Drosophila melanogaster: one gene and its partners. The protein of the gene in region 3 interacts with the protein of the main gene of each other region in a pairwise test. Each region holds a gene or a part of one and is shown on either strand. Other genes may lie near its edges.

Region 1 (11,079 bases), on a different chromosome or scaffold from region 3:
ATCACTTTTGCATCTTAATCTTAAAGTTTTGTTTTGTGCACAAGCTTCTTGGGTTAATATTCTCAAATTTCGTGCAGCTTTCCTCTGAGTGCATTCACTCACTCACCATTGGCGACTTTTCCCGTGGCGCCGACTTAACAATCGTCACCTTGTAGGCATTGGCCGCCCGTCGTTCCGCCTCCAGGGATTGCTTGCTCTTGGGAACGGGGCGATTGGGACGCTGCAGGAAAGTGGACCATTGACGGTTCTCCTTGTCCTTCTCCAGCTTGGTCTTGGTCACCTCCTCGTTGAGGGAGCGCAGTACGTCGCTGGACATGCAGACGCCCGGCTTTGGGAAGATCCTATAGAAATTGACGCTATCATATGGAAGTGGTTAAAAGAACTCGCCCGCATAGCATGCCAACAAATGGGGAAGTAGTCAAGGAGGGAACTGGCGGGAGAAATGGGTTTAAATTGAATAGTACGCACCCAAGGACATTGTGCTCCTTGAGCACCTCCGACTCGCCGGACAGCACGGCTGCAATTTCCTCCTCCACCAGCTTAATTTCCTGCCTTTCGGACAGCGCCGAGCACGGACGATCGGGTAAATCGGGCAAGTAGAGATTCTCGACGGGAAGGCCTCCTTCATCTGCCTGGCCTGGTGCATCATGCCCATTCACATCCCCTCGTTTCTCTTCCGAATGCACTTCCGACATGGGTTGGCGACATTCCGCCAGGACATCCACGTCCACTTCCACAGCAGGAGCCGCCATAGTCGCAGCAGCGAGTTCCCGGGGTAGCGGAACGAATGGCTCCGGTTCCGGAGTACGGGCATTTGTGGTTTCCGTCAGCTGGGACAGCGATGGAGTCGGCGACGGTGAAATGGTCGGCATTGGTGACTTGGTCAACGAACCCTCGCTCGTGGGAAACTTCTTTAGGCACTCGTAAGCGTCCTCCTCGTTCTCCCTGCACATGGATCCAAGTGACCAAAAAGTGAGCAGAATTTATGAACATTAGAATTAATTCCGTAACGTGGAATACCTGAGATGGAGCCCTGGTTTCGGGGACACTCTAAGAATAATTATTCATAACCCGAAAAAGTTGAAATACAAACTTAATTCAAATAATATAAATTGCTTCTAAAATGGTAGGGTAATTTTCAAAACTAATGGGGCTAGGTGGGTTTTTGAATTTAACTTTTCTTAGTTTATAATTATAATAAAATTAACTATTATGATATATTAACCAAATGTCATTTTACCCAGACAACTTTTTAAGAAAGCGCTTTATTTTTCCAGAACTTTATTCTTAAATCACGAAAATTTGTCATATTTTTTCCATTTCTCTCGAGGTCGTTTGTGGTTTGTGAATTTCTTGAACAAGTAGATTACCTTGAGCAGGGGCATGAGGAAACGTTCTTGGGTTGTTAGCCCGCTCAGCTGTGATAAATGGTCCTCGGTGGATGGGATACAAAGAGTAGTAGTAAAGGAACCGGACAAGGACGAGGACCACGACCACGAGCAGTAAGAGAACGAAACGGAATGGTATGGAATAGAAGGATGGGAAAGCTCACCGGTAGACGCCAAAATAGAAGACGCTTCCACTGCCCATAATGAGGCGGTGGGCCTCGTCGTGGGTAAGGGGCGTGGCAGCCGTGTCATTGATGCGCACGATGATATCCTCGACCCGCAGTCCAGCCTCGTCAGCAATGCTGCCCTCGGTCACCTAACGTTGAAGCATATGGACATGTTTAGATCTAGATGGGAATGCCTAGATATCGCCCGATTCAGATGCGGATATGGGAATGTGGCGATAGAATGAGTGCGAGGCCGAGATAGTCGAGATAGCCGAGATACAATACAATGGGATGCGATGCGATAATGGGGAAATTTCTATTAGCCGACAACGGCGACGTCGCGTGCTAAGTGCATAAAAATAAAACGCGCGCCAAATGTCAACAAAACAAAGACCAGCAGACCCAGACCCCCGAACAGACAATCATACAATCACGCACAAACCCAACAGAACCGAAGACAATGCCCAAGGAGATGGGGGGGCTACAGAGGATCTGTGGGGGCTGGGGGCTCAGAACGAGGGGTGCTCGAGTAGAAGTGGCAGCTCATTAACGACACTTCAGTTAAGCGAGTCAAGTGGAATTACCCATGTCTAACCACTCAAATATTGCATTGTTTCGCCGGATGGAAATGTTTGAGTTGAAGGATGATTCTACATACGTACATATATACAAAGTTATGAGTTCACTTAAAGAGAAGATTAATTTGTAAGGATAGAGAACCAAATATTGCTGATTCCAAAAAGATAAATGTTCAAACAACTCTACCACTAATATTTAAATAGCTTGTAAAAGCTTTTTTTTACAGAAGTTCTGCAATTTTAAAGCGGGGGTAAAAAATAATGTACAACTAATGAAACTTTCTAGGTCATCCAAAGTTCACAATAGTTTTCTCTAATTACAAAATTAAATTTTTAGAAATAAAAACCCACTGGACTAATCGTTTTAATTGGATAATACAATTTATGGCTCTTTTTTTGGAAAATTGGTAAATGTATATTCCGGAAATGGTACCAAATGACCGTGTAAGAGAATATCGTTTCAAAAATTTGCATTTGCCAACATTTATTTTCGCAACTATAAATCAAAGTGAAAATGTTGCGAGAACAATAACAACTAAATACAATATAAGCTTTATGGCTTTTGTGGGTAATAAAGTACAGACAAATTGGCGCAAATTGAGCATATAAATTGTAGGAATTCATTTAAAATGGTTTTGCCACTTCGGCCTTCAAAATTGCCAGCATACGAAGTGAGAATTCATCAAACTAATAGTTATGGATGAATTATGTTTCGCCTTCAAAATGCGAAATATCTTAGCACTCTGTTCAAAGAATTCTATTGCATAATTCAGGCAGTTTTGTAACACTTTCGTGGGCAAATAAACGCGATTGTTTTCGTTTCCGTTATGAGAAAGCAGGGTTCATAACCAGAAAGTCACGACACCGACTGCCAAGAGGACTTAGTAATGCAAATACTGCAAAAAAAAAAAAGTGGTTGGCACAAGGAGCAGGTGGAGGGTTGGAGACTCCACCATTTCACCCAACCAAGTTGAGGGTCTTTCCTTTCAGTCCCAGGGGTCTCTTGCATTTCACTTATGGTAGAGTCAATTTCCAGCGGTGAATTCGCAGAGCAAAAAGCACTCGACATCGTCGGAGGTTGCGAATATTTATAGAACAAAGGCTTTGGGCTTAGCTGGGCCATACATCTATGTACCAGACTGTATGTGGCGAGCAGCATGACGAAGAGTGGTAGTGTAAACAGAGGTTTTTCAAAAGATTACCAAGGATTGTTTAGTGTTTGCAGAGCCAATATGTGAAGGTGTGTTGGCACATTCCATAAAGTAATATGGACTCGAGTCGAAGGATGTGCTTTTTGAGTCTCTAACATGTAGTAAGGAATTCTTAAAAGCGGAGTATTAGTATAAGGAATAAATTAGCTAAGTTAATTTAGGGAGTTCATTGGAATGAAGAACATTCCGGACATTTTTCAGTTTTTTCTCTATCAGCCAGCTTGTGAAGTTAATAATTCATTTACAATAAACTTCCATTTTTTCATGGTATGCATATCCCAAAGCACAAACATTTTATAAATTGATCGGAATTTAAAATAACCCATAGCATAATTTGTTTATGTAAAACGGTAAAAAAAAAATAACCAAAAAGTCAAAAACAATTTATGACCTCCCTTCCTTGACTCTGCGGCTTAAATTGATTTATTCGTATCGAAGGGATGGGATTTTTTAGCGCCCCTCGCATTTCGGTCATTTGTTTTATGCGCTTAGCAGTTTGCCAATTAAAAATCGCATTTGTTTCGGATTTACGACGATGCTATAGTATTGTATGTATTGTATTTTTGTTATTGTTGCTGGTTGCGAATTGTCAACACAATGTTACAAAATGCGAATTGCCAAATGCAATTTATGCACAAACAAAGGACCAACTGCCAGCGAAACACAATTAAAATTTGAATAAGTTTATTGCCGCTGCCATTATGCGGCTCATTAGCGGGAAATGTATGGCCCTGTCGATTAGATAAACAAAAGCGAGAGGAATTACTTTAATTAACTAATTTGCCAATGCAGCAAATCCGAATGGACACACACGCATCGCGGCGTTACGTAATATTGCAATCGAACAAATAAAACTGATTCGAACGTATCGTATCGAATTAATCCAATGTGATTCATCAGCTGCATAGTGAGCAATATTTTCCACTGGTCTATGAACATCCGCCAGGTGAATGGGCTGAGGTGATGCGTGGGGGGGTGGGGGTTGCAGCATATAGATTTCGTTCTTTTTTCGAATCGGGCCTAACCTTAACCACCGTCAGCGGATAATCGTAGTCCGCCCCGCCCACCAGGCGAAAGCCCCAGGGCACATTATCAAATCGGCACATCTTAATGTCGAGCACCATGTTTCCTTGATTTATTCCGACTTTTTTTGTTCGTTTCGATTTTTCCGTTTTCTATCGCGAATTTTCTTCCACTTTTTTTTTTGCTTTTTTTCTAGCTTTTCCGGCACTTTGCGGTCGGTGGGAAGAAGCGAGTGTTTCGAGTGCAGCGCTGGCAACCAACTGTTGGCATCGCCGTGCGTGCAACTCGACAATCGAGTGGCCATGGCGATGGCGATGATGGTGATCGAAGCGATTTCGCACACTGCCGCCGGAGGAGCTTCATCGAAGCATACTTTCCTCCTGGCCACGACATGCTAATGAGGCTGCCACACTGTCAGCCATCGGCCCACATACCCCTTATCCCCATGCCCCACAGATATCTGGTCGTAATCGTAATCGCAATCGACAGCAGTCAGAGCCTCTTAGCGGCAATGTAACAGGTTGGGCGAACGGGTTATGCTTTGAAGTGGGCGGATTTTTTGGCGGTGATTACACTGAAAACTATGCTCGATAAAGCTGTGTGCATCAATTCACACTTTAGAGCAAGTCCCATAAGGCTAACTCTTCTGAATATCTTAAAAATGTCTTACAAATACATTCCAAACTATTGGTATAGATAGATATAGGTAATGATACAACTGATATTTGCTAAGAAATACAATACAATACCCCAACTACCAAAACAACAGTGCATCGCTTTTCCATCCAAATTGGGGAGTAGAGCTAGAAATAGAGTTTGCATTTTTAGGGGAAAAACGGTACCTGAAACATGGGTGATCAAAGGATTTGCAGTTTGTACGCCCGTGGGGCTTGCTATGCCACTGCAATGCTAGACTGCAGAAGAGGCCATTGAACTGCATTAGCTAGCGCTTCCGATTTAGTGGTATAAATACCAGTTGCAGCCCAGAGCATTCACTGCATATCCAAGATGTTTAGCCAGCACAACGGTGCAGCAGTACATGGCCTTCGGCTCCAGTCGCTGCTCATCGCAGCCATGCTCACCGCTGCAATGGCAATGGTCACGCCGACTGGCAGTGGTCACCAGTTGCTGCCCCCCGGAAACCACAAACTCTGCGGCCCCGCACTGTCCGATGCCATGGATGTGGTGTGTCCCCATGGCTTTAATACGCTGCCAAGGAAACGTGAAAGCTTGCTGGGCAACAGCGACGACGACGAGGACACGGAGCAGGAGGTGCAGGATGATAGCAGCATGTGGCAGACACTGGACGGGGCAGGATACTCTTTTAGTCCACTGCTAACCAATCTGTACGGATCCGAGGTCCTGATCAAGATGCGTCGCCACAGGAGACACCTGACCGGTGGCGTCTACGACGAGTGCTGCGTCAAGACCTGCAGCTACTTGGAGTTAGCCATCTACTGTCTACCGAAATAGGACACTTGGCCAACACACACACATTCATTACCCAGCATGCATACACATACATACATACATACGAACACTTGAACATGGCATTCCCACATACATACTATATGTACACCCGTTCTCCTAACAGCATTCGTAATCCAATTCGTAATCACTTATTTATGCAGCACCAACTTTGACTAATGAATAAAAGTAGACAGTGCAAAAAGAAGAATTTGTGTGAGCGGCAAAGACAAGACAGTCAAAGGAAAAGTACCAAGGAGGCGTAATTCGTTGCCAGGATGCTGCTGGCTCCAATCAGCTGGCTCGGGTTCTTGTTGGCCTACTCCGGCCTGCCGGGCGCCCAGGCGCGGATTGGTAAGTATAGGGTAGAAATGGTAGAGGCAAACGGGCTGTAAAGGCGAGGTAACTTTAAGACCAAGGACTTATTTGGTATTCATAAATGCAGGGCTTAGTACGGCCTGGCTGTTTATACATAAATTGTTTAATTGGCTGACAGCAAAACGCCCACAAAGCCCTTCTTCTCCCAAACACAGCCACCCAAAAACCACCCACAATTTTCCAATAGCCATTTGCATAAGTCAGCTTTGACATTGAATGAGTTTAGCCAGGCGTTAGAGAGAAGAGCCAACTCCGGAATGCACTCATCGCATCCTAACACAATTTGACAACCTGACTTTTGAGGATAACATGTGTGTGGATCCAGACCCCGACCCCGAGAGACCGACCCCGACCCAGACCCAGTTTAAGTTTCTTACGAGGCAGTATATAAGCCAGTTACTTTGGGCCAAACATCATCAGTTAGCTTTCGACCCGGCTCGACCCAACTTAATCCATTTGATCGTAAAGCAACCTAAGCAGTAAACCCATAACCATGAGCAAGCCTTTGTCCTTCATCTCGATGGTGGCCGTGATTTTGCTGGCCAGCTCCACAGTGAAGTTGGCCCAAGGAACGCTCTGCAGTGAAAAGCTCAACGAGGTGCTGAGTATGGTGTGCGAGGAGTATAATCCCGTGATTCCACACAAGCGCGCCATGCGTAAGTTCTTACAAGGATGCAGATCCTCAAGCTGGCTTTGCTAGATCTACATTGTATCCACGATTTTTATTAGCCGGTGCCGACAGCGATCTGGACGCCCTCAATCCCCTGCAGTTTGTCCAGGAGTTCGAGGAGGAGGATAACTCGATATCGGAACCGCTGCGAAGTGCCCTCTTTCCTGGGAGCTATCTTGGGGGTGTACTCAATTCCCTGGCTGAAGTCCGGAGGCGAACTCGCCAACGGCAAGGAATCGTGGAGAGGTGCTGCAAAAAGTCCTGTGATATGAAGGCTCTGCGGGAGTACTGCTCCGTGGTCAGAAATTAGGCCTCCTAATGCGAAAATCATTGACCCCAACTGACCTGGTCGACGCGATTATCTCTGGATCTGGTTCCAAACCAACCATGTGCATATATACTACAATCGATGTTTTTTACAGCTTGTTGCATGTTACTCTTTACGAATGATCGAAATGGATTAAATATATATTCTGCTTTAAGCTTTGGCAAACAATCGCAAATGCTACTTTATATTATTATTAATTTGGGACGTTACATTTATTATTATCATTATATGATATATATGTTGATTATTACACTTGAATAAAAAGCGATATAACACAAGTATTCAGAAATCTAAAATGAATATATCTTTTTTTCTATTAAAACTAAATTTATTGAAAACAAAAAAAATCTTAAAAAAACTTGAAACAATTTAAACCATTCATTCATTTCCAAAACTTGTTTCTGTCTTAATACAGTAGGCAATCCAATTGCAATTCAAAAGTTAGTCGCATGTGGGAAATTTCCAAATTTTAGTTCATAGCTTTTTTCGTACTTCGTTTATCGATGATTATATCATCCGTAAAGAAGTAATTGATCAAATCTTATAATCAAAACATTGACTTACTTTTATGTTGACCTTAAAAGTCGAGTATTTCTAGTCGCGGTTGGCCGATTTTATAGCAATACTCATAATTTAATCGTTCTGTGTAGTTGTAAATTAGAAGATTATTACATTTTGAAAGCTAAAATAAACGGAATCAACTAAATTCATGCAGACCTTAAATAACAATCACGCATTACCAAATGCAAGGCATTAAAAGTGCAAAACGGATAATCTTAGTAAATTAACTAAAATATTAATAAATATCGTTTTAAAACTGACCATTTCAGCGTAGGTTTTGAGGGCATTAAATTGGAATGATTTTAAACTTTACAATGAACAGAGTTTGTTAAAAAATCACAGCTTCCTTTTCAACATAGTTGCAAACAGAAATCCGGCCGCTGTTCAATAAATAATTAACTGCAATGAACGACAATGAAAAATCAATGTAATACCCGTTTCATTACCAATCAAGTTGGCCAATCTGCAGCAGTTTGAATACATAATTTATTTAATAATTTATACCCAGGCGATGTATTCTGGCCCCGCACAATCATACATATCTACCATGCATAACATCCCGTGTTCCGATTCATTTCGCGTGCCTGTCTCTGATTTCAGATCATAAATTATGCGCATACATCCCTCTTACATGTGCATATATATCATAAATCCAAAGTTGGAATTGAGTAGGCTTCGATAACGACTTAACAACTATGATTACGTGAGTGCTTTCCCCAATCGGGTCCTTTCATTCCATTTCAATCATCGCAGTTGTCGTCATTGGGTTAATAGGTTTACGAGGTTTACGTTCTCGGCTTGGCAGCACAATATCTCAGCACCTCATCCATGGTGCACGACTTCAGGCAACACTCGTCGAAGACTCCATCCCGAAGACGTCGAGTCTTGAGCATCTGAACCGAACTATCACTCAACAGTCTTTCCAGCAGGGAACGGTCTTCGAAGCCATCGATCTGATTGAAGTTCACGGGGTCTACAGGTGTTAGGTGAAAGTAAAGAGATATGGCACTTTAGTATTCCTTATATCAAGAAAAATCCCACCTACCCAAAGTTCTCTTGGTCATTGCGTTGAAGCCATACACACAGAGCTTGGAGAGAGTTTCGGGCAGTTTGCGGCCGCACAACTTCATGGTGGCCTGGACACCGCCGATCATAAGGATTAGTAGGAGTAGGCTAGGTAGCAGGATCCTCCTGTCCTGACACCTCATCTCGATGCCCATGAGTGATGAAGTGGTGTTTAAGTATGGATGCGTGAATCCCCCGGGGAGTGTGTAGTATGTGTCTGCCAAGTGGCACGGCCTCAACTGTTTGCCTCCCAGCCATCGACTGAGGGTTATATATATGGGGCAGAATCGGATAGGATACGAGTTGGATGTCTGCGGGCTGTATCCAGCGTCTGAGCACTGTCAGCATGAGTCAGCCGTAGTGTCAGTTAGCATCATCCACATATGTAGTTCGCCCTGGTCTGGTCTAGTTTCTCGTGAGGATTCGGGCTGGCATGGGATGTCTGAAATGGTGAGATGATGATGAGCCCGGGGGGTCTGACGCATATCAGCTGGCGTTTGTTTACTTTCTCGCCCAAGGAGTAGCGCACGGATCTGGATTGTTGAAAAACAAAATGACGTGCATCGAGTTCCCTTCGGCAGACGAGGATGTTCATCCATTTTGGTGGGTTCAGAAAGTTTAACTGTAAAGTTTAGCAGTTTAACTATATAGTTCTATGCATACATATTTAAACTCACATTTGGCAAGCTACTAAAAGTAAACTTACTTGAAATATATTCATTGATTAAATAAACACTTTTTCGAATTAGTCATTTATTAAATTTGGAATGTAATAAAAATTACCTAAAGAATAATGATACTTTCAAAACTACTTAAATTCTTTAAATTAACACAAAAGCCATTACGTTTTAACAACACTTTTAGAGCTTATTTCATTCCCATTCAATTAAAAACGAGTGCCAACTTATTCAATTGCTTTTGAGTGGAAAACAATAAAGTCGCCTTCTGTTATCTCATTATCTTGGCTCAGTACCTTCGATACTTTATGGTTTCCCCAAGTCCCTTTTGCCAATGATAAGCCAACTGAGCCTTTTTTCCGTCCGCAAAAAAACAGGTATTAGTATAGATTTTTACCTGTAAGAACGGAATTATTATCATTTCAAAACCCTTCGGTTGAATAGAGTGTTATCTTCGGAAAATCCCGCTACTGATTGGAAGTTGTTTTCTAGTTTTGATATCGCTCCTTCGATAATAACAAAAATTATGGATAAAAAGGAAGCTGTAAATTCGAATCTGAGTGTATTACCGAGTTCGTTTTGTCTCCACCTTTTGTTTTGCTTATTAAAATCAGAACGTCATCTAATTAAAAATTCATATTTTTCATTATTGTTCTCGGAAAACAAGGGCACCGCACTCGAGGTGCTGAATGGCAGCTGCTTGTGGGTGGCTCGATGGTTTGGGTGGCTTCGGGTGGTTTGAATAACAAGGGGATTCCCCATGCCTCACAGCTGGAATGCTGCAGGGCGTAGAATGTAGAAAAAAGCAATGGACTCTTCTTTTGTTTCTGCTGCTGCTTGGAGAGTAACTTTATTTGCCTCCACTAGAAATTTTACAATGAAATATTTGGAAATACGATTACGTTTATAGTTAGGGGTTAAGTGTAGTAGGAAAATGAATTGCAAATAGCCTGCCGGTCGTCGGGTGTTTTCCCCGTGCCGCCACACAAAATCTCAGCCATGTCGTGTTCATCTGGTACTTGGTTTTTGGGATCTGGTTTCTGGTTTTTATTTGTTTTGTTTTGCCATCCTGGTCATCAGGCGCAGTAGTCCAGTATATCGTCGTAGGTGCAGCCCTCCTTGCAACACTCGTGGGCGATGCGTCGCCGATGGCGTCGCAACTTTCGTCCACTTCCGACGGCCGGTGGCACACCCTTCTCCGTATCCGCATCCGTATGCTTCTGCTTTAACCTTCCCGTTTCCGTTTCCTGTTCAATGTCCTCATCCGGCTGCTGTAGCTTACGGATAAGGTCTCGCACTCTAGCATCCTTAGACGCTTGTCGAAAAGAAGTTAGATGTATGGAAGCCAATCGAATATGCATAGTACCCAAACTTACCACTGCTCCGCCTGACACGGCGTGTAAATCCATTAACACAAATCACATCCAGTGCCTGGATCAGAGCCTCGCCGCACATCTTTCGGCGTCCCTGGACCGGCTGCAGTAACTGCGACACGGTGGCCAGCAGGAGCAGCAGCGCCAGTCCCAGTCTAATCAGGCTCATCCTGCTCGATCTTTCACTCCGCCG
Region 2 (11,079 bases), 9.0 Mb from region 3:
TTGTAGTAGGCCTCGTAGACGCCTATGTGCTTCCCGCACACCCTCGCAAAGTCCACATTCATGGTGTGGAGTCTACTGGCAATTGGTTCCGACTAGCAGTGCAAAAACGCGTAAGCGTAAGCCCGTTATCACAAAATCGATTTTTTCTTCCCAAGGGGCGGATAAGCTGCTCTTAGTCAGCCGTCGGCGGAGTCCTGCTGCCTAGCACCTGTGCACCTGCGACGAGACACTTGCTGGAGCCACTTACAGGTGAGCTTGGCGCATTGCGGCCCCTAATTTAGCTACTCTCGAATTTTAAAAAGCCTAAATTTGCTTTTTTGCTCGGTGGATAGTGTGACCGTTCGGATAACGATTAAAAATACCGTACGGCTGATGATTAAGTATACCACTAGGTAAAATGCGTTAAAATACCACATAAATTAATACCGTTAAATTAACGAACATTATTATTTTTTTAAAGTATAATTTTTTAAAATTCATTTGTCTATATTTATTCCTTTAACACTAAACGTGAAGAAAATTGTGTACTTTGAAACGGACGGTGCAGAACAGCAGTAGCTTATAAAAATGCAATGTTTCCGTTACCCTAACGGAACAGATAATGTTTAAAGTTTAAATTTTTAATTCTAATTCTTCTTTAATGAGTATATTTCCTGTATGGATCTCTAACTTAAGCTAGAACTTAGAGCAGACGAAGGCGGCAATTGGGGGCCCCGCACTGGCAGTACAACACCTTGCCGGGCACCACGCCCACCTCGTAATTGTAGTTCCAAGTCAGCTCGGTGCCGGAGCGGATGTGCGCGGCCGAGAAGAAGGCAACCCAGGGGAAACGCAGGTCGTGAGTATCCACGAACACGTTCTGCACGAAGAGATTGGGGCTGCACGAGTGCTGCGGGAGAAGAAGAGAATCAGCCACACGGCAAAATAACAAAAAACTTCCAACTCACGTTGAAATAGCGTCCAAGGTTGCCCGTTGTCTTGGCGTCCATGATGTAGGGCGCCTCGTCCTTGCCGAAAAGCCTCCGCACCGAGTTCTCCCGCACCGTCTCGTCCAGATCAGCATTTGGGTTAAAGTTGATCACCGCACGCTCCTGCGAGTCCAACTCGCTGCTCTGAGTGGAGCTGTTCTGCGTGGAGCCGCTTCTGGAAGAGCGCTTGATTTTGCGCTGGTAGTGATAGTTTGGCCGGAAGTCGTCATCGTCCTCGGCATCGGGTCCCCCGTTGTCCTCCTCGGCGTCCGGGTCCGAGTGGTCCACCTCCGACTCGTATCCCTCTTTTAACTGTTCAGCGACCTCTATGTAATCTAAGTCCGCGAAATACTCGTCGCCGGCGTCCTGTCCGCCTTCGTTGGCCATCGTCTCCGTGAGCAGATGGCCGGCGTAAATACAGATGAAAGCACCCTTGGGGATGTCGTTAACGCAGCGCAAGCCCCATCCACGATTTGAGGTCTTGAACACCTGCAGTTTCATCTCTAGGGAGAACTGCACCACCCGGTTCAGGCAATTCTTCTTGCACTTGCAGCGCGAGTTGCACTCGTAGATGCCGGTGGGCACGTGCTCGTGGAGCCGCTTGTACTGGTAGCCTATCTCCTCGATGGGTTTCTTCGGGTTACAGTACCGCACGCCCGCCACCGTTAGCTGCCAACAGGCGCACTTTGACTTGTCCTGATAGGGATACACAAAATAGTGGGCGGCTGGGTATAATTTGAGGTAATCAGATCTGTAAGACGTCTTACCGAGCAGTCGTCCTCGCAGTCGCAGCACAAGAGGAACTCCTCGTCCAGATTCAGATGAACACCCTCGGTAGGGATGCGCTGCTTCGCGTAGGTGCATGGGGGCGGCAGGGTGTTGTCGTAGTAGTTTACCAGCGGAATCGCCATCTTCTCCTGCCCCTTTGAAATGTCCGTGTCCTTCACGATCGAGGGATCAATGGAGTACTCGGCCAGACACTTGAGGTCGGGCGTAAAGTCAAAATTGTCTACGTTCAACACATTTTCAGTAGCTCGAAGGTACCTGTGAACTTCGGCCAGGCTGCGCAAGCTTTTGCCACAAGGTCCCTTGTATACCACAGACTTCTTGGTCTTCTGCCGCATGACAAGACGTTCCCAGCCAGAAAGCAGAGGCTTCGCTAACGGACTGTAGCTGTCCAGACGGTGAACGATCTTAAAGAGGCAGTTCGGGCTGCACTCGTGGCACTTGTACATTTTGGGAGGCAGATTCCGCTTGGCTGTAAAGTAGACTACATGGCCCTTGGGCCTGTTCTCGTCGTCCACGTAGATTGTCGAGTTGTTTAGGTGTCGCACAGCACTTGCGCTATTACTGGTGCTGACACCTCCTGCATTGGTGCGTCCTCCGGCTGGGGTTGCTGCCGAAGATGCAGCCGCTAATGCGTTATTTTGGGCGGAGGCGCTGCTCTTGCGGGCAAAGGCACGCATCTGCTGGTTCACCTTGCTGCTGGACTCCATCTCCTTGGTGTACCGAATAAAGGGCTCCGTGCGCTGAAAAAGAAAGACATTTTGTAGTTAGGACCGCAGGATGAATCGACACGATGCTTACTCTTGGGACACGCAGCTGCTGTGCGCTTGAACTGTTCATATTGTTCTGGGTTTCCCTGAAGACAGGACCCAAGCGCAATGAACCCCTGTATATCCACTCCGTATGGTTTTTGTCGCCCTCAAACTGCATCAACACCAAGCTGCAGTCGATGTCAATGACGCGCGCGTACAGCCAGGTCCCGTTCGATTCAGTGGTCATACTTTGTCCCCGGGTGCATTGCACCATTGGACGATCCACGGAGTACTTCTCCACGTACTTCTGTATGAAATCGCGCGATGCGGCGTGTACGTCCTCCCACACTTTCTCGGAAGCCTGGCAAACTAGACGGACATCGCGGTGCGGAACGTACTGAGTGTACCCATCGTCGTAGAATATTAGGTAGCGGTAGCGATTGGCCTGCTTCAACGGCTCAGCGATGATGCCTGGATAAAAGGCGCTCTGCACCACGCCCTTATCCTTGCCCCGCGACAAAGTGGTGCCATCGAAGTACGCAATCACGCGGGTACCTAGTGCACAATGAGTGGGTTAGTTTATAGATTGATAAATAACCGGTCTATTGGGAACTAACCAATGGTCAGTCGCACTGGCGGTGGTTCGAAGTAGGCAATGTGCTTGGCCGTCACTGTCTTGATCATCTGGTACGGAGTGTTGAGGTACCTAATCTTGTAGCTCTTCATCGTGTTTCCGTTGATGGCGGTGCTCTCTGTAAACTCGATTACCTTTATGGACACCCAGCTGGCAATAGCCTTGTTCTTAACAGCGTAGTATGTCTCTCCCAACTGTATTGGAGGACGCACGATTTCGCCAGGAGGTGGAACTTCATGCTGAGTAAATGGTTGTATTAAATCAGATCCAAACGGCATCACTTCTTACTTACCACATAGTCACTGGGTTCAATGTCCAGGGTGGGCAGATGTTTGTGTGCCACCGGACACGAGTTATACAAAGCGCAGTGCATTTTGTCAGCGGTGGTCTGAACTTTTTCGAGTTCCACATCTGCCAGTGCGAATTGTCGCTCCAAGTGGTCTGCTTTCGCCTGGAGAATAGTTTTTGACCAGGACAGCTGAGCCGTAAAATCCACCTTGTTAAGTACATTTTTGATGGCATCATCGAGTTCATCTTCGATGAGCTGCAGCTTGTTTTTCGAAAAGTCCGATTTTTCTGTGCGGATAAAATATATTTAGTACGTTTTTTTTTTTGCTATTGTTTATTTATCATGATAGCAGTCTCACCTGGCTGCTTCTCCTCTTCCTCCTCATCGCTGCTGTCCAGAGCCACAAAGTCGGCGTGATCCTGATGGAAATCCTTTAGCAGCAGCGGCTGCTTGGCCATTAGTTGTCCAGCATACTCCTAAATAAAGAAATACGTTCTAAGTTTCCCTCTTAAGTTAATAAATATGCTAGTTGACCTCATACAAGTCCATTGCTGTGTCATGGCATCCCATGCAGAGGAACTGCTGCTTGGAAGACTTTCGGAGCACCTGGTAAAAGTTTAAAGTGGCCATGTTAGCCAACACGTACTGTTTATGAAGCTTTGTGCAATTGCAGTTGACACATTCCTTGTCGTAGAAGACATCTCCATCTGATAACAAAGCGTTCAGCTTCTCGTCTTCTGCAGCTTTCGGAGCAGTGCCCTTTTCAAGCTCCACCTCTAGGACATCGTCTTTTTTATCAACAATTTTGTGTTCTTCGATTTCCGTTAAGCTAATACGCTTGTGACCTTTTAATGTATTCTCAATTTTGTATTCTTCTGCTGGTCGACTTATTGACTCCTCGACGTCCTGATCTACCTCCATGCCAGGAGGTTCTTGCTCATTTTCCTTATTGGTCTTTTCATCTTTTTCAGGAAAACTTTCGGATGTGGGACTGCTGATGCTGCTATCAGTCATTTCCTCGGCCTCTTTAGCCGCAGCTTCATTGACAGCATCTGGTTTTGGCGGATCTTTCTCACTTTCGTTGGCGGAGGAGAATTTGACAGGACTCTCTATTAGCTCAACACTGCTGTCCGAATCCACAGCTACCAAAACCGGGCTGCTTGCAATGGCTTTCGTGTTCTCTCCCTTGCGGTCCTCCGATTCGTCGGCCAACTTTCCAGGTTCATCAGGGGCCTTACCTCCATATGGGCACTGCTTCCTGGTTGAACCGGTGGCGGCGATTGCTTCACTGTGTGTCAGTTCCTCAATTTCCACATCCTTTGCGGCTTGTTCTGCAGGAGACTCCAAGCTATTTTCTCCTTTGCGCACCGGCAACCCGTAACTTTTTTCCCTCGACGCCGGTGTTTCTTGGACATCCTCCACTGTGCTTCCACTGCTCTCTAAGCAGTCCACGGCTGTTGGCTGCCCAGACATAGTTTTAATGAGTTTACTTAACTTTACACATTAATGCAAATTTGCGAGACAAGCGATAACATTGTATAAAATTTCGCTCGTAATTTGCCAGCCCTAGATTTTAGTGGCAGAAAGAAGAAGAGTGTCTATTCACACAAAAGAAAAAGAACGGAAATTCAAAATGTTCGCTGCTGCAATGGATTTAATTTTTTATTTCGGTCTTCGGGAGTGGGTCCTGTTCATTAGGCCTCGACGACCTTTGGGTGGTAGCCGGTTTCATCGGCGGTGTAGACCACTTTGACGGTCTTGCCGTTGGGGGCCACGTACTCGTACTCCCCGGAAACCACCCAGTTGTCGTGCTCCTTCAAGGCTCCAGTTTGCACGGCGCGAATATGGTTGGATAGCTCATAAGCGTAGTTAAAGTCCAGCAAGTTAACCTCGGAGTCGCTCTTTACAACATCAGCCTCCTCGTTGGCGAAGACCACGGCCAAAAGGCAGGCAAGAACGATCTAAAAGACAAATCGTTGTTCAGAGGTCCCCAAAATCTAATTTCGATGCCACTTACCACAAACTTCATGGTTGGAAAGGGGATGTGTGTGCTGATAGATAGCGATAAAATTTTGACTGCTGGTTGCCGAAAATTGCGCTTTTATATGTAGCTCTCCACTGACATTTTACCGGCCGGAATCACCAACTGCATAAATTTTCTTCATAACTGGCTCCCAGCGGTCGTTTGTCTTAATTAAACAAAAGACATAGATGCAGTCATTCTGCAGGCATTAATTATCGCCCCACTCGGCATATCATATTCGGGGGGTTATCTTTGGAGATCTGTGCGGAAGATTCCCAAAACAACCACGTTCATCAATTGTCAGCACCGCACGATTAATTTTTAGCTGATAAGAGCTAACCGGTTCCTTCGATGCTAACGCCGATTAGCATTATTTTCGCATAACTCCATTAGCAGTCTGATTTTGCTCCCGCAGTTGCAACCGGTTTCTAACAAGCTGCGATTGCAATATGGCCTGGGATTTGAATTTCTTGGCGCGCAATTAGCCAGTGCTGGAAAATGTCTGGGACCGCACAGATTTGCCATTCAGAGGGAATCCCACGTGGTGGTGTCTGCGTATCGGTGTGCACTGCAATCTCCCCCAGAAATATCACGATGGCCAGTGATTCTGGCAGCGATTATGAGGTGGAGGCTTTCTTCAATCCCAAGCGAGTTCAACGCACAGTCAACGACGACAGTGCGGATCTATTGGGAAACTTCGATGACCAGAAGCGAAGGGAGATCTTCGAGGGCACGTATGTGGACAAGGAGGACGGACGGAATCCCAGTGACCCGGAGGATAGTAAGAGCGAGGATGAGGCCAAGTCCGACGACGAGGCAGCCGCTGAGGGCAGTGCTGCTTCCGGAGCCGAGGAAGAGGAATCTGCGGAAAATGGGCAGATAACCAGTGACCAGCTGAGTTCACTGCTTCGAGGAGCCTCCAAAACCAACAGACACGTCCTGTACGTGACGAACCTGAACTTCGAAACCACAAAGGACGACCTGGAGCTGCACTTCTCTGCGGCAGGCACGGTCAAGTCTATCCGCATTCCCAAGAAGCGACGAGGGGGCTTCGCCTTTGTGGAAATGGCCGACCTAAGCAGTTTCCAGAATGCCTTCCAGCTGCACAACACAGAGCTGCAGGGACGCAACATCAAGGTGCAGATCTCCGAGGCGGGCAAGAAGAAGTCGGCCAACAAGAAGAACATCATCAAACAGAAGAACCGAAAGCTGGCCGAGATGCGCAACGAGCAGAAGACCTTCACGAAGAGCGGCAAGTTTTACGACAAGGACCTGAAAAAGGAGAAGGCCAAGGAAATGCTGGCGCGAAAGCGGTGGCGCAAAAAGCCCGCCCCCAGACCCACATAAATAGCATAAGTTCTTACAATGTAAGCCATTCTATGATTATTTAACAACAATTAAAAGTTAACATTACCGGATAAGAGGTTTACTGTTAACTATTGCCAGCGCACAATATAGAAGTTGCGTTTGCCCACGCGCAGCAGAGAAATTCCGTTGCGCAGGATGTGCACGCCCGTAGTTAGCACTTCGGCGATATTCTGCACCCGCTTCTGGTTAACGTAAAATCCGCCTGCGTTTATAATGCGTACAGCATCCGCTAAAGAGTGATCACAAATCGATTATGCCCCATATTTCCAAAGAGAAAGATAACTTACTCTCCGTGGGAAAGCACTTCGCCTTCATGGCGAGCTCTAGGATGGACATTCCTGGCTCGGTCAACAGGTTCACCATAGTAGCACCCTGAAAAGTCTGCTGGATCTCGGAAAGGTTGAGTTCCGCTAAACCCTCCACGTTGCCTTTGTATAAGGCATTGGTCACACGTTCCGCCTGCTTCAGCCCACTTTCTGTGAATTGAAAACTTCTATACTACTGATATAAAGGAACAATGATATAGAGTACAACCTCCATGAACCAGCAGAGTCACGTCCTCAGCCAGCAGAGTCTGCGCCTTCCGCTTCTCGGGCTCCTTCGTGTGCTCCCGCATCAACTGCTCCACCTGGGGCAGCGGGATGAAGGTGAACAGCTTCAGGAGCTTTTCGACCTCGGAGTCTGGCATGCGCAGGAAAAACTGGTAGAGGGCGAAAGGCGAGGTCTTGTTACCGTCTAGCCACACTGCATTGCCTGCCGACTTGCCGAACTTATCGCCCTCTTCCGTCGTGACCAATGGCAGGGTGAGCCCGAAGACCTCTCGCTTTCGCTCTACGCGGCTAATAAGCTCGTGTCCAGTCATTAAATTGCCCGTCTGATCGGAGCCTCCCATTTGAAAGCAGCAGTTGTGGCGGCGCAGTAGGTGCAGCCAGTCGTAGGCTTGGAAAATCTGGTAGGTGAACTCGGTGAAGCTCATTCCGTCCTCCGACTCCAGGCGGGACTGCACCGAGGATCTGGAGAGCATTGACCCCATGCGAAAGTGTCGTCCCATGTTGGCCACAAAGTCGATGAGCTGCAGGTCCGCATACCAGTCGGCATTGTTGACGATTCTGCGGAGATTAGAAAGAGATTAACACGACCTGATGTAGGCTACACACTCACATTAGGGGAGCCAGTGGCAATTTCTGTTTCTTAGAGTCCCAAAGGCAGTTCTCGTGATTTTCGAACACCCGGCGAAGCTGTTGCTCGATAGCCTTTAGATTGGTCTCGATCACCGTCTCGCCCAGTTGGTTGCGCTCTGTCTTGCGTCCACTGGGATCCCCTATGAGTCCAGTTGCTCCTCCTACTAGGGCAATAGGTCTGTGGCCGGCTCTTTGGCAGTGGATCAGGCCCATTATTACAAGCAGATTGCCCACGTGTAGACTGTCAGCGGTGGGATCGAATCCTGCGTAGATGCTCTGTTGGCCTCTGGTAAAAAGCTGTTTCATCCTGGGACTGTGGAGCAGCGGTTTTCATAGATAAAATGGAAATCTTCTCTCTTTGTAGATGGTCCAATACTTACGCCGCTGTATCAGGAAATATGCCGTGGAAAAAGCCTCGATCTGTGAGCTCCAAGAGGTTCTTCTGCGACATCTGGCGGTGGCTATGTCGGAGTACATCCTGGAGCGGTTTGAGCAAACTCCGGCGCAGAGGCAGCATTATGCGAAGTTCGTTGGAAATTTTAAATTCCTAGAGGGACTGATTTTGAGGTTGGAGCCATCAGCTGATCGGCGCGCGGTGAATGACAAAATCTGACTTGTTTTGGCTTGCAAACAGCTGGTTGTCGCTGCGAATGGCAACATCGGAGTCCAAACACAAAGGTTCCATTTGGAGCCAACGCAGTTTTCCATGACAAGGGGCTATTCATAATCAAATCTAGAGATAATGCTGCTGAAGATACGCCACGCCCTGTTGGAGGTCACCAGTCCACCGGCTGCAAAACAGTCCGCGATCATTATTAACAACGAACTCATCATCAGTTCTGGAAGCATTCTGCAACCACATTTGGCCGTAGACGGGGACAAAGGAGCGCAGAACAAGGCAATTGTTGCCAGATTGCAGAGGGGTCAACTGCTGGATGTTCAGAATGAGGAGCAGGAAGAGGATGCGCAGATCCGCTCACTACATTTTGTGGCCACCTTCGATCCGCAGCAACGACGGCCGAGGCCAATCGCAGCACCTGGGTCGAGGCAACCACACATCCTCTCCCGCTTCACTGCCCATCCGCTGTACGTGTTTTGTGCGAACGAAGTTTGCCGCAACCTGCACCACATACTACTCACCGCTGACTCCGGCGATGCGGGTGAGGTGCTGCGCTCCAGTTTCGTGGTGCTGGGCCTGCGGAAGCCCGAAAAGGAGAAGTCCTTCAAGCGCTTCCTCGCGCACATCGCTAACTACTTGCGATACCTGCAGCCCATGCACACTTTGGACGACGTGCTGGTCATGTGCTCGCCCTTTGGCCTGGAGAACTTTTACAAGACCATCAGCATTGGAAAGGTGTCTAATGTTATGGGACGAAGTGGCTGCTTGTTTGCCATTTCAAACGCTTTGCCCCTGGGCTGTGAAGGCTCTGCAGTGTTCAACAACAAGCTGTAGGTGATGAATACGTTACAAAACCGTAATATACCAAAAATTTCCGTTTATCAGGCGGCTCGTTGGCATTGTGATATGCACCTCATTTCAACGCCATCACGAAAACGTCAACCTCACTCTGGCCGCAAACTTTGGCTACCTTTTGCGCAACTTTATGGAACAACTGGGCATGTCTACTACAGCATTCCAGCTGAGTCGAGAGCCGTCGAGCTTTGCCTGTAAGTTAAGACTAATTCCACGTTGTTCTTATAGTAACTACACACCGTTCTAGGGGAGCGCACCATTGTGGTCATAGAGTCGGCGGGTCAACAAGGTACCGGGACCTTCATAAGAGTACACAACAAGCGCTTTATCCTCACTTGTGCACATGTGGTGGGACAGGTATGCAAGCATGGGCTGCCCGAAACCTTGGCGCACTAAATAATGTCTTTCACGCAGAACATTGAGACTGTTAATTGCCGTGCTGCCGATCGCGAGTTCCAGTCTGAGGTGATTTGGTGCAATCCGGACAGCGATAAGCCCTTCGACTTGGCTCTACTCACAGCTCCGCAGGATGTGCCGGAGCAATGCTGCGTGCGACTGGCCAGGAGTCCGGCCACCGTCGGGCAAATGGTGTACAACGCCGGGTTTCCCTACTACGTTAACTTCAGCTTCAGGCACGACTTCAACCCTTCGATTTTTCAAGGGAGGGTCATCAAGTGCGACACCGGGGCCATTATGTCCGATGGCAGCGTGCAGGCGGGCCAAAGTGGAGGACCGATGTTCGACCAGAATGGATGCATCCTAGGCGTTTGTGTGTCCAACATTAAATTAGACGACGTCGTCTACCCAAACATAAATACAGCCATTCCAATTTGTGATATCCGCAACACGTTGCAGCAGTTTGCACGCACCAACGGTGAGCAGAATGTCGAATCGATGGTTTCTAGCTTATCTTAATTCTTTGCAGACTTAAATGTGCTTAGCAACCTGGTAGCCAGTCCAGATGTACACCGCGTGTGGTCTCTGGAAATGCCCCCCATTCGCAGCAAACTCTGAGGAGACTCGTGCATTGTTCATTGTTAACGAAACTGTAATTAGTGTTTTTATATAATATGGCCGGTTAGCCAGGCTTTTAAGATTAAACAAGATATTGTAAAAAAAGAAAATATATATATATATATAAATTTATTAATATGGTAAGAAATTGTGCTTAGTTTTTATCCAAACAATCGTTAACGTGACTCTGAAGCACGCTTAAGGCGTTAAAGGACTTTGAACAGATCGGACATCGCAAAGTGGTGTCTGAAGTCCGGGATGAGGCGCCTGTTGGGTCGAGAATCTACCGATACAAAAATTAGTATTGACATTTATGGACTTTGGAATCAGCGTACTCTTACTGGTCTCTGCTCCTCTCGCAAATTGCTTCTGCTTGAACTCAGCGGAGAAGCGGTCGAGCACGCCTTGCTTGCCTTGTGGGACTCGGCCAGAGCTTCGATAAGCTCCTGGTTCCTCCTCTGCAATGATCGCAAGTCCATAAGATACTGATCTTTCTCTCCGGCATTCTTCTCGCGATCTGCCCGCTCCATTTCAAAGTCCCTGCGGTAGATATCGTTTTGGATCTGTAGACCTTTGATCACCTCCTGCTT
Region 3 (11,079 bases):
ATTAAGCGAAATGCAATTGCGAAATGCAAATTTTTCCTCATTCGGATGATTGGAGAGCATATCTCGCAGGCATATATCCCCTATTCACTTGGCCTAATGACAGGCGGCAGATTGAAACTGGCAGATAAAGTCGACACAAAGGACGGGCGGCCATAATTCTCCATCAAAAAATGGGAACTCCAGGAGGAGACACACTTGTTGCTGCCCCGCCCCCTTTGAACGGCCTGCCCTGGTGACAGTTTACAAAGTGCTGCAATTAGGGCTGACAAAGTGCCCGGCTCCTGGTCTCCTCGATTTCTCCTCGGCTCCTCGATTCCATCTCGACTCCTGGATGCTGGGAACATTGTGCGAACACCCGAATGAATTTGTTAAGACCACTGCCCGCTCGCCTGCTCTGTTGGCAAGCGAACAAGTATCTGTTGGATATGAATTAATCAAAGACTAAATAAAATGCTTAGCATTTGCATTTCACCCCGTTTCAACAAACAATTTGTCAGCCTTCGTAATGGACAGAGGCAAGTGTCACAGGCGGATTCTTCTTTTAAAAATACATCAGAAATGTATATAATTCATTTGGCCGAGGCAACTATTTCGGTGACGGACGCACACCGCTGTTTTTCTTTTTTATTTTCTTCTCGTTTTTGGGGTAATTGGAGCTGCAGTTTGGTCAGCAGGGGTTAAGGCAAAGTAATTTTCATTGAGATGCCGCCCTACCTTTCGCTTTCGCCAATCACAAATATATATATATTTTTTTTTTTTTTTTTTGATATTTGTGACTTTGGCATTGACGTCTGTCTGCAGGGGCTGTCGATCGAAATAGACTTGGCGCAGAAATGCCCCTCGAATATTAGTTCGTCGGTGGGCGGAAGGCCAGCGTTTTGAACTATTTTTCCAAGGAAAACTCGAGCGGAATGTCTTGGCTTACATACATATGTATTTAAAATCACCAATCGCCCGTTTAAACGCCACCAAATGTCGGGCAATTAATTCTCGATCTCGATGCCGAAAAAGAGATGCACGTAAATGCTGTTGTGATTTATGAGCGCGCGCCGCACGAGATTTTATAATTTGTTCAGCGCAACGTGCATGGCCAAAATAAATATTTTCCCTTCGTTAAATTCATAAACAAAACTCTGGAATGGATGGGATGGAATGGCATGGGTATGAGATGCCATGCGGGTTTCCCCACTAAAACCCTATCCCAAAGTGCCGACTCAATCGCAATCTCTCGATGGGTTTCTGTGGCTTTTGCCGCGGCGATGAAACCAAAAATTGTTTGCCAGTCACGTTTGTGGTGCAGAAAGAGCAGTGGCAGCAGTGGTACCCATTACCCATTTAGCAAAAAGTAAAAAAAAGGGGTATGGGGGGGAGGGTTCAGACAATTCGAGTTGCGTTGAGTCTGCACTTCTTCGTCGAAGATTTCGCGTCTGTGGGCGTTTATTTTCAACGCACTGCGGTTATGTAATTGCGAGGCGTCGGATACGTGATTACTTTTAGTCAAATTGCCGCTCGAATATTGTGTAATTCCGCTCGACTCCGCTCGCCTCCTCCACTTGCGATTTCATATCTGTGCGAAAGTGTGCCATCGCAGTTGTTGGCCAGGCGAAAGTGATTAACTTGTTGGCAGAAGTTAAGGTCAGGGTTGCACACCTCACAAGTGCTTTTTAAGTGGGAGCAATAACAGAGCACTATAACTTAGTAAATCGATAAGGAGAGCTAATAGTATCAGTCTGTATAGCAATAAATGTATTTATTTATGCTATATATTGGGAAGTAAACATTTGAAGAAATTGTTTCTTTGCTGAGATGATATCATTGGCTGAAATAGCACACCTTCTTTCCTATAGCCAAGCACTGCATTTAAAAATTCATTATAGAAGTTCTTTTAAAAGCCATATAGCATATAGCATATGAGATTCAAGATCAGAAGGTCGAAAGGGGTCATATCTCAATCTACTCCTACAACCATTCCCAGGCAAGAACCTTCCATTAACGTATGTTTAAATATTCTTGAATCATTATCATCGGTCGGGTTTTGCGTTGTTTCGCCACCTTTTTTTTTTTTTTTTTTTTTGTTCTTTTGCTCTGAGTGACATACGAACCCTGAAGAATAAACAAAGATACAAAGATACGAGAGAAGTGCTTGTCTCAGCAAAAGGAAAGAGAATGCAATCTACCATGACAGTTCACGAAGGTTAAATTCTTGAGAAATGATTTGGTGGCAATCGTAGAGACCGCAGAGAATTTGCAAAAAGCAAAAGCGGCCAATGAGAGAGCGAACTAATTAAAATATACGCAAAGCTGTTTGAAATTTGTAGAGCATGTCTCCCCTTTTTTGCCCCATCGCTCAGTCCCCCGCGATGGTTGCAATATGTGCACGAATCCGAGTCAAGTGAAGCCAAGCCATGAAATATTGTCACGCACCCAGGAACGGAATGGGATAGGATAGGAATAGGATGTGCACGAGAAGTGCCATTCTAATGAGCTCAGCTACATTTCCACGACGGCCTTAATTTACGATTCCCGGCCGAGAAGGAATTTGCTAGTATTTTTCAGCAGTGAGAAAAAATTTAGATACAATTCTGTTTACTAAAAGAACTCGACTTAAATAATTAAACGAACAGTCAGCTCTTTGTTTTCGGTGTATTTTCTAGTGCACCCATCATCCTCTGCGTAATTAATTCCGCCCTGGACTGATAAACCCCAGTGTAAACAAAGACATTTCATTCATCGAAAAAGTGGTCAGTGGCAATGGCTATTAGCTCATTCAAGTTTATAGAACCACTATCTTATCGGGCATTGATTCACGGATGTTGTGAGGCGTTGTAAGATTGATTCGGTCGAAGTGGCGATTGCTTTACAGCTATTATTGGTGAGGTGACCAAACATTAGTTTAATCGCTAGATAACAAGGTGGGTGATTAATCGATTTCGTCGTTTTGTTGGGGTTCACTGAACCCAGGCTAAAAGAAAGCCAGAAGATAAACGGACACAAGAACAGGGCGAGTATCAACAAGTTTTGGTCATGGCTAAATTACATCACAGGCAGACTGCTGGTGGCCTGGCAGGAATTGGAAATGGCAAATGGAAATGGAGAGCAACCACTGCGTATACGTGATGTCAGCGGCAGTGAGAGTGAGCGAGAGCTGGCGAGGTAGGCAGAGAGAAAAGGAGAGAGCGATTGCTGAAAATCGCTGAAAATAGATCAGGCGAAGAGGAAATCCGAAGAGCAGCCACGAAAATCGCAAACGAAAATTGCCAAGATAACGAAAGACACTTTTCGAGGAGGCGACCTAGAGAGCTGGTCTGGCTTCATTAATATGCGATGCTTTATGCTGTCGCCGATATATAGTCTATATAGCGCTCAAAACGTTTTGAAAATGTCTCAGAATTTGTGGCGCCAAACCGCAGCAATTCGAGCATAGAAAGGAGGCGCAGGAGGTGGTGGCCGCCACATTCGCAGCACTTTCGCAATTTGTGTATCTGTATCTGGCAGATATTGTATCTGGCGGATGGCTGCTGGCGAACGGCGCTGACTGACTGACTGAGCGAGAGTATTCGGAAACAAATCCAATCCGCGCAGCCATTTCGAGGAGCTATAAATAAACTCACCTTGAAAAGTTTCTAAAAATTTTCTCGCTTTTTGACTATATAATTTTATTCAATTTCAACGAGCCGAAGATCTACAACGTATCTGTATCTCTGTATCTGTGCTCTGGCCAACAAATGTGATATATGCGTCAAAAGAAATTCCCTGGATCGGCGTGCCAAGAAAATTATTTACCAATCGCCTATATTATTCGCGCTGAGTCTTCGGTTTCGTAAGGGACTTTACTTGTTGTTAACCTTCACAAAATGCACACAAGTCACTATTTAGTGGACGAATGGTGAGGGAGAGGGGCGGTGACTGTCTCTGATATTGATTCTGATTCATCAGCGATCCTGGCGAATCGATTGCGGCAGGCTATTGTATAACCAGCTGATTTCTACTTAACCGAATGTCTGATTTCACATGCGACCTGGTACTGACCGATTTATTCCGATCGGGTGGCTTTCTGCTGGGATTCGATTAGATTCGATTCGATACGGTTTCGATTTGATTTGATTTTTACTGATTTGGACTTGGATCTCGGTTTCGTATATTCGTGACGTTTGTGGTGCACTGCCAGTTCAGTTCTTGGGCGACGTTAACTAAGCGACGATTTTCTCTCAACTAAAGCAAAAACCGAAACCGAAAATTTTTATGTGCATTTTGTGCCGTTTTCGAATACAAAAATCTTTTCAACCACATCGCTGCCGTCGCAGTCGTCGTCGCTGCCGGCGTCGCTGCTTTTGGGCCGTGCGAGAGGCAGTGGCAGTGGCACAGTCTGGCTATATAGCATCTATATAGACATTGTCGGTTCTCAATTCCCAACCGATACGACGGCAGAGCCGCAAAGCTACAAAACGCCAGACGACGGCGACGGCAACGGCTGCCAATGTCTGTCTGGCTTTTGTGGCCCACTGTTTTGTTGTTGTTCCTGGTGCGGGCTATTCTTTTTGTTATTTGGCTAATTGTTTGTATTTTGTTTTCATAGCCAAGCTTTTAACGGCGCAGCCAGCCAAATGCCCATGTGCAATCAGTCCGTTTCGGGGCTGTAACTTATAGTAATCCTATAATTACATCTAGTTAAATGGGATAAACAATTTGCTGAAGGGCTCAAGTACAATTGCCCAAAAAATAAATCCTTAAGTAGGATAATTTCATTATCTATACTTTAGATATACATAAAGTTTCAATGATCTCATATTATTGTTTCTTGTCATGAATGTACTATGCGTATGAAACGCACATTTGGCACATCTCTTTGAAGTTGAAAGCAAGTGCAGGTGCTGAACTATTTCCCGTGATCTGTTTTCCTCAAAACCACAACAAAGTGTGCAGCTAAATGGGAACAACAACCCCGAATAATCTGGGGAATTTGGGTCACAAAAGATCCTAAGTGCGTGAATCAGCGGTGGTGACTCCATCCGAGCTATGATCCATCCGATCCATTATCCATTTCTCAATAAACAATTAATCATTCCGTCGGGGTCACACATCCCTCATACCCAATGCATGCTTCTTTTAAAGATCGCAGGTCCAAAAACATACTCTCGCTAAAATGAAATTTCCCTAAATTGAATTTCCAGTGCATGAAAAGTGAGCCATAAAGCATTAATATGTTAAAATGTAGCCATAGCGCAAAGCTTACAAAAATAAACGCAAATATGTTTTTGCCAGCGCTGATGTGCTCAATCAAGCAGCGAAATGAAACGAAACGAATTGAATCGAATCGAGGCAAACAATCCACCAATCCACCAAAAAACAAAAAAAAAATGGACAGGAAAACATGGACGACTATGTAGATAAATATGTATAATATAATATAATATTTGGATGTTTTATGCCGCGCGTATTTGTGTCTACATCACATCACATAGCGGGTGGCATAAAAAGCTCAGGCGGGTTAAACAAGAACAGCAAACAAGTAAACAAATAATAATAAACCAACCCGCCACCTAACTATGCCGACAAAAAACATTTCGGCTTTTTAATTAAATCATGTTGAGTGGCAAAAATGATAATAAAGAATCTAGCGCAATTCAATCAAAATCACTAACAAAAAACACTGTTCTTGCGGTTTTTTATTACGCATTTCGGTCAGGCGATTAAGATACGAAATACCGAGATACGGGCGTAATTAAGTTTAAAGACCGCATCTCGGCGATCTTTCGTTTTTATGTTTTAATGACAACGGTGACAACGGTTAGTTACACAATAACTTGCGGTTAACACTTTTGCTTTTTATACCAATGCGGTTTAATTGCTTAAATCTGTCTTTGATATTCGGGGATGCTGAGTCAACGGTCAAGTTTTCGGAGCCATGAATCACACAATCGAGCCCTGTGGCTCGAAACCGGCTCTTCGCGGAGCCGTTTTTTTTTTTTTTTTTGAAAACTTTTTGGCAGGAGGCCAGCACAAACAACAAACAACGAACCACAAACAACAAATCGCCAAGAAACTGGCCAAGACACTTACACTTCCTTCACTCGCACTTGTTGGATTCGCAAGCGGATTCGTAACGTTCTCTCTCTCTGCGAAAATGAAAAGCGTTTGGGGGACCGTGACCGGGAGAGTTGTTTCTGGATGTTTTGAGCACTTGAGTGAATACGTTTGAGTTCCTCGACACTTCTTGGTCTTATATCTTTCGTTCCGGGTTTATATCTTTCTGTTCTGTTGTTCTGCGAGATACAACCGCGCGCGATCGTTGCGTTCGAGCGAATGAGGGCTGGGATCGGGATCTCGACGACGACGGGTTGTTTGGAGTCGCACTGTAAGACGAGCGACTCACACAAATACTCCCGCTCACCCACACATCCGCACGCTGCGCTCTCACTCGCTCTCTTCTCCGCTCAATCAACAGGTAAGTGGTTGGCCAAAAGGTGCGCAATTGTATCGGTATCCGTATCTGTATCGGCCAGTCTATGTGTATCTGTACCTGTGCATGTGTGACACTCGTGTGCGGCACTTGCTGATAAGATAAGGCCAGAAAAAGCCGAATAGAGCAAATGCAAATATAAACAAACACCGGGCGCAACCATAAGCCATGAATTTCGCAGCCAGTGATAATGGCATTCGAGCCATAAATTCAGTTTTCTGGTCTGGATCAATAATTTGAGCAAGCTAATTTGCAGCAAATAGCGCGACTTTTGGCGAGCTGCAATTCTATATTTAGGTTGCATGCCACATCGCACCGAAACTGGTTCCTCCAGTTTCCTGATAATCTGGGTGACGGCTACACAACCCAAAACAACAGCGGCCCCAACACAACACCCTGATTCTGGACGGGCACAAAGTCTGATTTTCCTTTTTAGCGCCAAACAAAAATCAAAACAGTCGGGAAAGCGGCGATTTTCGCACACCCTCTAAACCTTTTATGCGTACTTTTCTGAATGCAGTTACTTTCCTTGTAATGAATGAGCCAACTTAACCTGCTTATCAAAGCTGATTTATAAAGAATATCTATATATCGCAACAAAATACATACTCTTCAAATTAAAATAAATACATTTAAATTTAAAAATCTAAAACTGGTAACTTTCTTGGCAAACCGCAAAAACTCTTTGTGAGGGCAACAATTCAGCAAATGCAGTTCCTCCCAAAAAAAAAAAATAAAAGAAAGACATGAAAAAAGCGATCAAACTGCGCAGTTGGCCGAAACCGGTTGCCGCCTTGCAGATCGCCTGCTTCATGCCCTTTGCTTTGCAGTGATATTGTTGACCAAGAGCGAGAAGCGGGCCAACAAAACCCCGTCTCCCAGCAACTGGAGGTGAAAAGAACAAACAGAAACCAAAAGTGCTAGCCCCATGACTTTGGCTAATGCACGCGAGAGCGGTAGTAAATCATTTGCCAGCTATTTTGTTTGATCAGTCGACAGAGCGGACTTCTGGCCCAAAGACAGACCGGCCAACAGAACCCAGCCAGAGGAAGCGACATCGCGCAGTCACTCTGAAAATGTCACGCATGCGCTGTCGGCATGCGCGTAATTGCATTGAGGATGTGCGAGGAGGCCAAGAGGATGTGCCAACTATATAATCTAGTGGGGGACGCATTTGGCTTTACAATTTAATGAGCGCTTAAATAAAGAAATTGCATGGGAATAAGCCGCAAAAGACATGAAAATGTGTGTTGTTGCTTAAGTACACGGTACTTTGTGTGCCAAAATGTATTACCATGAAAACAGCTGTGCTTTACTATTTATCGATTTATAAATATTTCTAAAAAAAAAACATTTATGGATGAACCAAATAACCTGCAAACGCTTTTTAACAATGCTTATTTTAGTTTAGTTTATGTTTAGGACCTAGACTATTCACATACTGGGCTCCAAAATTGTGTTTTAAACTGTATGTTGGACACCTAGCGTTGACTTACGAAACCTTCATAGTTTACATTCATTTTACACAAATGCAGCGCCACCTATGCGGGCACAGCTATAAGCTACGGATTGAGTAAAAAAAAAGTAACATGATAATATAATTAATTTTATCTAAATAGAAAGAAGTGAACTGCAGACTGGGTCTTATTTTTTATTTATTTTCAAAATAAGCAAAACATTTTGCTACATAATGTGATAAATATTAAATATAAGGCTTATCATTCATACTGGTTCATCGATGTTATTTATTCCTGATTTGTTATTTAACCATTCATAATTGTTTTAATGATTTATAAAGGTGTAACAGATATTCAACATGAGGAGCTAGCAATGAGTTTTTATTAAATTTTTTTTTTAATTTATGCCGATAATATGCACTTCTCATCACCGCAATCTTATACCAAAAAGTACATTTATAAATTTAAAAGAAAATCGTAAGTATAAACTCAGATTTGCATTGATAATTTTTATTGCATTTTTGGAATGATATATTTTATATTTATTCATTTCATCATATTAAAAATATTTACGAAATGATTTATTTTATAGTTATTTATTTATTATATATTTAATTATAATAAACTTTATCCATTATCCAATCCAAATAGCTTTGTATATAGGTGTAGACCACCATGCCGTCCTTACTGTAGCTCATTAGGCCAAAAAGATAGTACCTATTACCATCGCCGATATTTCTATATGTGCCTATGATTGAGCCTGGCGCTTGAACTTTAAAATCAATAGGTTGTGCGACACAAAATTGGTTACTTTTAAGTGGTTTCCCAATTCTTCTGGCGCATTCAATGTGATTGATGGCGTTCAAAGTAACATTCCTGACGCCTCTGAAATCATTGGTGGTCTCATCCACAAGTGTAGTTAACATCCTTGGCAATTTGGGACTTGGGACAATGCAGATTGGCTTGACAAGATCTAAATTAAAAGATTTTTAAGATCGATTAAGCGTTCAAAACTGAATCTTTTTTACCTGAGTTTGGCACATCGTGAGCTAGTTTAAGCAATGCAATATTGTTGTCCATTGATGAATGCGTGAATCTGGGATGGGTATGGATCGATTCCACGTCGAAACTTTTGAGATATTTGGTTTCCACCTTCCTGTAAGAAAAAATTTAAATAGTTAAGCAGAAATGTTATAAATTAATAACAGTCATATAATTTGTACTTACATTACTAAAGGAATGTTAGGGAAAGCACTGGCCACCGTCAAGACAAATCCTTTGAAAAGAAACACAATTAAAAAATTGAACTTACTATTACTAGATAGAACTTACTATTCGTAATAAGCACGCCAGAGAAAGTATTCTGATGCAGAGATACCTCCCACAGGCGAACAAGGACATCCTCCGCCCAGTTGCTCCTGCATTCTTCGTACACAACCTGATCACCTTTAGTTTCGAAATTCCTGACAGTATTATATATCCAGTCCTTGAAGGCGACAACATCTGTATAGACGCTAGTTGGGCTGCACAACTCGCTGCCGTAGCTCACCAATCCAACCTGAACGGTGATATTTTTTACGCCGTAGGTGAAATCAGCTGTCAACGGACTGCCGGAGTTACTTCTACAGAAACTTCTATCCCTATTGCCGGCGCAGAATTGCCCCTCGTTAATGGGCAACAACTGACCATTTCGATGGCACTCAAATGGTTTTTTCTGAGAGAGATATACGGTCTGCCTCACTTGGCTGGATGCTTCTGTTCCTTGTTGTTGCCATCCAAAGCCCTCAAACCTTTCAAATGGTGCTGACTTTACCACATGATCTAATATTATACAAATCGGGCGGATGTGGGCTGCAGGTGGAATAAATGTATAAAGTAATGAGTAGTTAATATCAACAATAATCGTAATATTATTTGAGCTATTACATTTGTTAGCTTACCATAATGCGTCACTTCACCGTAAAGTCTTAAAAGGCCTATATCGTTGACGCCATTGTTTGGGCGGAAATTGGAATGTTGCAAAGCAACCGCCACTCCATATTGTTCGTTGTTAAAGAATTGTGATGCATCCCTGTATTGGTTGTACATCCCGAAAAGCACGTACCTTCATAAAAAAAAGCTCAATCGGTGAAGCTAGCACTGGAGTTCTACTTACAGTTGACTATCTTTCGATATGCAACTCGCGGCCGTTAGGACGAACACTAAAATCAGATAGTATTAGTATAAACATAACTTTTTGCTGGAAATTATGTAATTGATTTTTTACTAACATTTGTGAACAAGCGTTCCGTCGCAAATAAATTGGTTATTCTTGTATATGCTTGCCATCCAGGGTGCGGTTTCAGTTGCACCATGATTGAAATTTATATTCTCTGAAGTTTTTGGATCGTGACACTTTTTATCCAGCAGTTGTGCTAAACCCTGGCAGAGCACTAATCCGATCAGAGCTAACGAAAGCACACGAGACATTGTTCTCGAACAAATTACCCTGTACGACTGACTCAAGAACACATTGTATTTTCAAATACAAGCGAAACCACCGATGTGCCTTATCAGCAATGCTACACATTTTCTTAAACTGGAAAGATATTTATGTTAAAAGAAGTAGAGTTTCTCGACTATCAGAAGAAAAAATAAATAAAATTTAAACGGTTTTCATAAGAGTGGGCGTGACAGTTTAGGTCGATGTATGGGCATTAGAGTAAATATATTTCATAAGGTCGAAAACGCCAACTTATTCCTGTGCCCTGATTTATAACGAGTCTGGCATACCCATTTTACCTTACAAGTAAAGGGTGTAATAAATAAAAAACATTCCAAGTGGCGCCTCTAGTCGTTGAATACATGAACTAAAGGTGGCCTTTCGCTTGGGACACGTTTTGAGACATGCCGATAAATATGTATTGTCAATTGTAAAATCCATGTAGATTAGATTAGGATACAGTATTTTTACAAATGTAGTTTATGGTTTGGAACCAGTGAAATTTGCTACAGTCCGATAGCTCGGACATGTCCATGATTGACAAAAGCCACCAAACTGTTCTAAAATAATGCTAACGCTATTAGATAACATACTCTATTTTATTAAAATTTAATTTAAATTATATAGAGTACTTATAATGAATTAATATAAATTAAATAATGTATCCAAACTAACATTTA

What was found.
Region 1: the proteins of Zasp52 (region 3) and Zasp67 interact in a two-hybrid assay, tested with the Drosophila melanogaster proteins (one study listed by BioGRID).
Region 2: the proteins of Zasp52 (region 3) and egg interact in a two-hybrid assay, tested with the Drosophila melanogaster proteins (one study listed by BioGRID).

The regions. Positions count from the first base shown.
Region 1 is NT_037436.4:9,793,059-9,804,137, forward strand, and holds the start of Zasp67 (Z band alternatively spliced PDZ-motif protein 67), read right to left. Parts: upstream 4,630-11,079; 5' UTR 4,469-4,629; coding exon 4,370-4,468; intron 1,705-4,369; coding exon 1,553-1,704; intron 946-1,552; coding exon 469-945; intron 357-468; coding exon 107-356; intron 1-106. Other genes in the region: Ilp1 (Insulin-like peptide 1), read left to right, coding at 5,376-5,840; CG32052 (uncharacterized protein), read left to right, coding at 6,113-6,188; Ilp2 (Insulin-like peptide 2), read left to right, coding at 6,706-6,868, 6,942-7,192; Ilp3 (Insulin-like peptide 3), read right to left, coding at 8,557-8,744, 8,817-8,991; Ilp4 (Insulin-like peptide 4), read right to left, coding at 10,590-10,828, 10,890-11,055.
Region 2 is NT_033778.4:24,774,912-24,785,990, forward strand, and holds egg (eggless), read right to left. Parts: upstream 4,991-11,079; 5' UTR 4,903-4,990; coding exon 3,964-4,902; intron 3,906-3,963; coding exon 3,788-3,905; intron 3,717-3,787; coding exon 3,433-3,716; intron 3,380-3,432; coding exon 3,124-3,379; intron 3,062-3,123; coding exon 2,556-3,061; intron 2,498-2,555; coding exon 1,736-2,497; intron 1,665-1,735; coding exon 948-1,664; intron 890-947; coding exon 683-889; 3' UTR 623-682; downstream 1-622. Other genes in the region: Eps-15 (epidermal growth factor receptor pathway substrate clone 15), read right to left, coding at 1-62; Lcp9 (larval cuticle protein 9), read right to left, coding at 5,124-5,390, 5,447-5,458; CG3594 (uncharacterized protein), read left to right, coding at 6,047-6,799; TyrRS-m (Tyrosyl-tRNA synthetase, mitochondrial), read right to left, coding at 6,889-7,049, 7,108-7,296, 7,355-7,929, 7,982-8,314, 8,382-8,518; CG3589 (uncharacterized protein), read left to right, coding at 8,744-9,450, 9,506-9,669, 9,723-9,832, 9,890-10,349, 10,401-10,489; key (kenny), read right to left, coding at 10,644-10,772, 10,825-11,079. UniProt on the Drosophila melanogaster protein: Histone methyltransferase that specifically trimethylates 'Lys-10' of histone H3 (H3K9me3) in ovary. H3K9me3 represents a specific tag for epigenetic transcriptional repression by recruiting Su(var)205/HP1 to methylated histones.
Region 3 is NT_033778.4:15,810,700-15,821,778, forward strand, and holds the start of Zasp52 (Z band alternatively spliced PDZ-motif protein 52), read right to left. Parts: upstream 4,219-11,079; 5' UTR 4,030-4,218; intron 1-4,029. Other genes in the region: CG33465 (uncharacterized protein), read right to left, coding at 8,529-8,890, 8,946-9,073, 9,145-9,193, 9,250-9,768, 9,858-10,021, 10,073-10,118, 10,188-10,386. UniProt on the Drosophila melanogaster protein: Regulator of cell matrix adhesion having two related functions, one upstream of Actn organizing the Z line and the other downstream of integrins regulating assembly of integrin adhesion sites.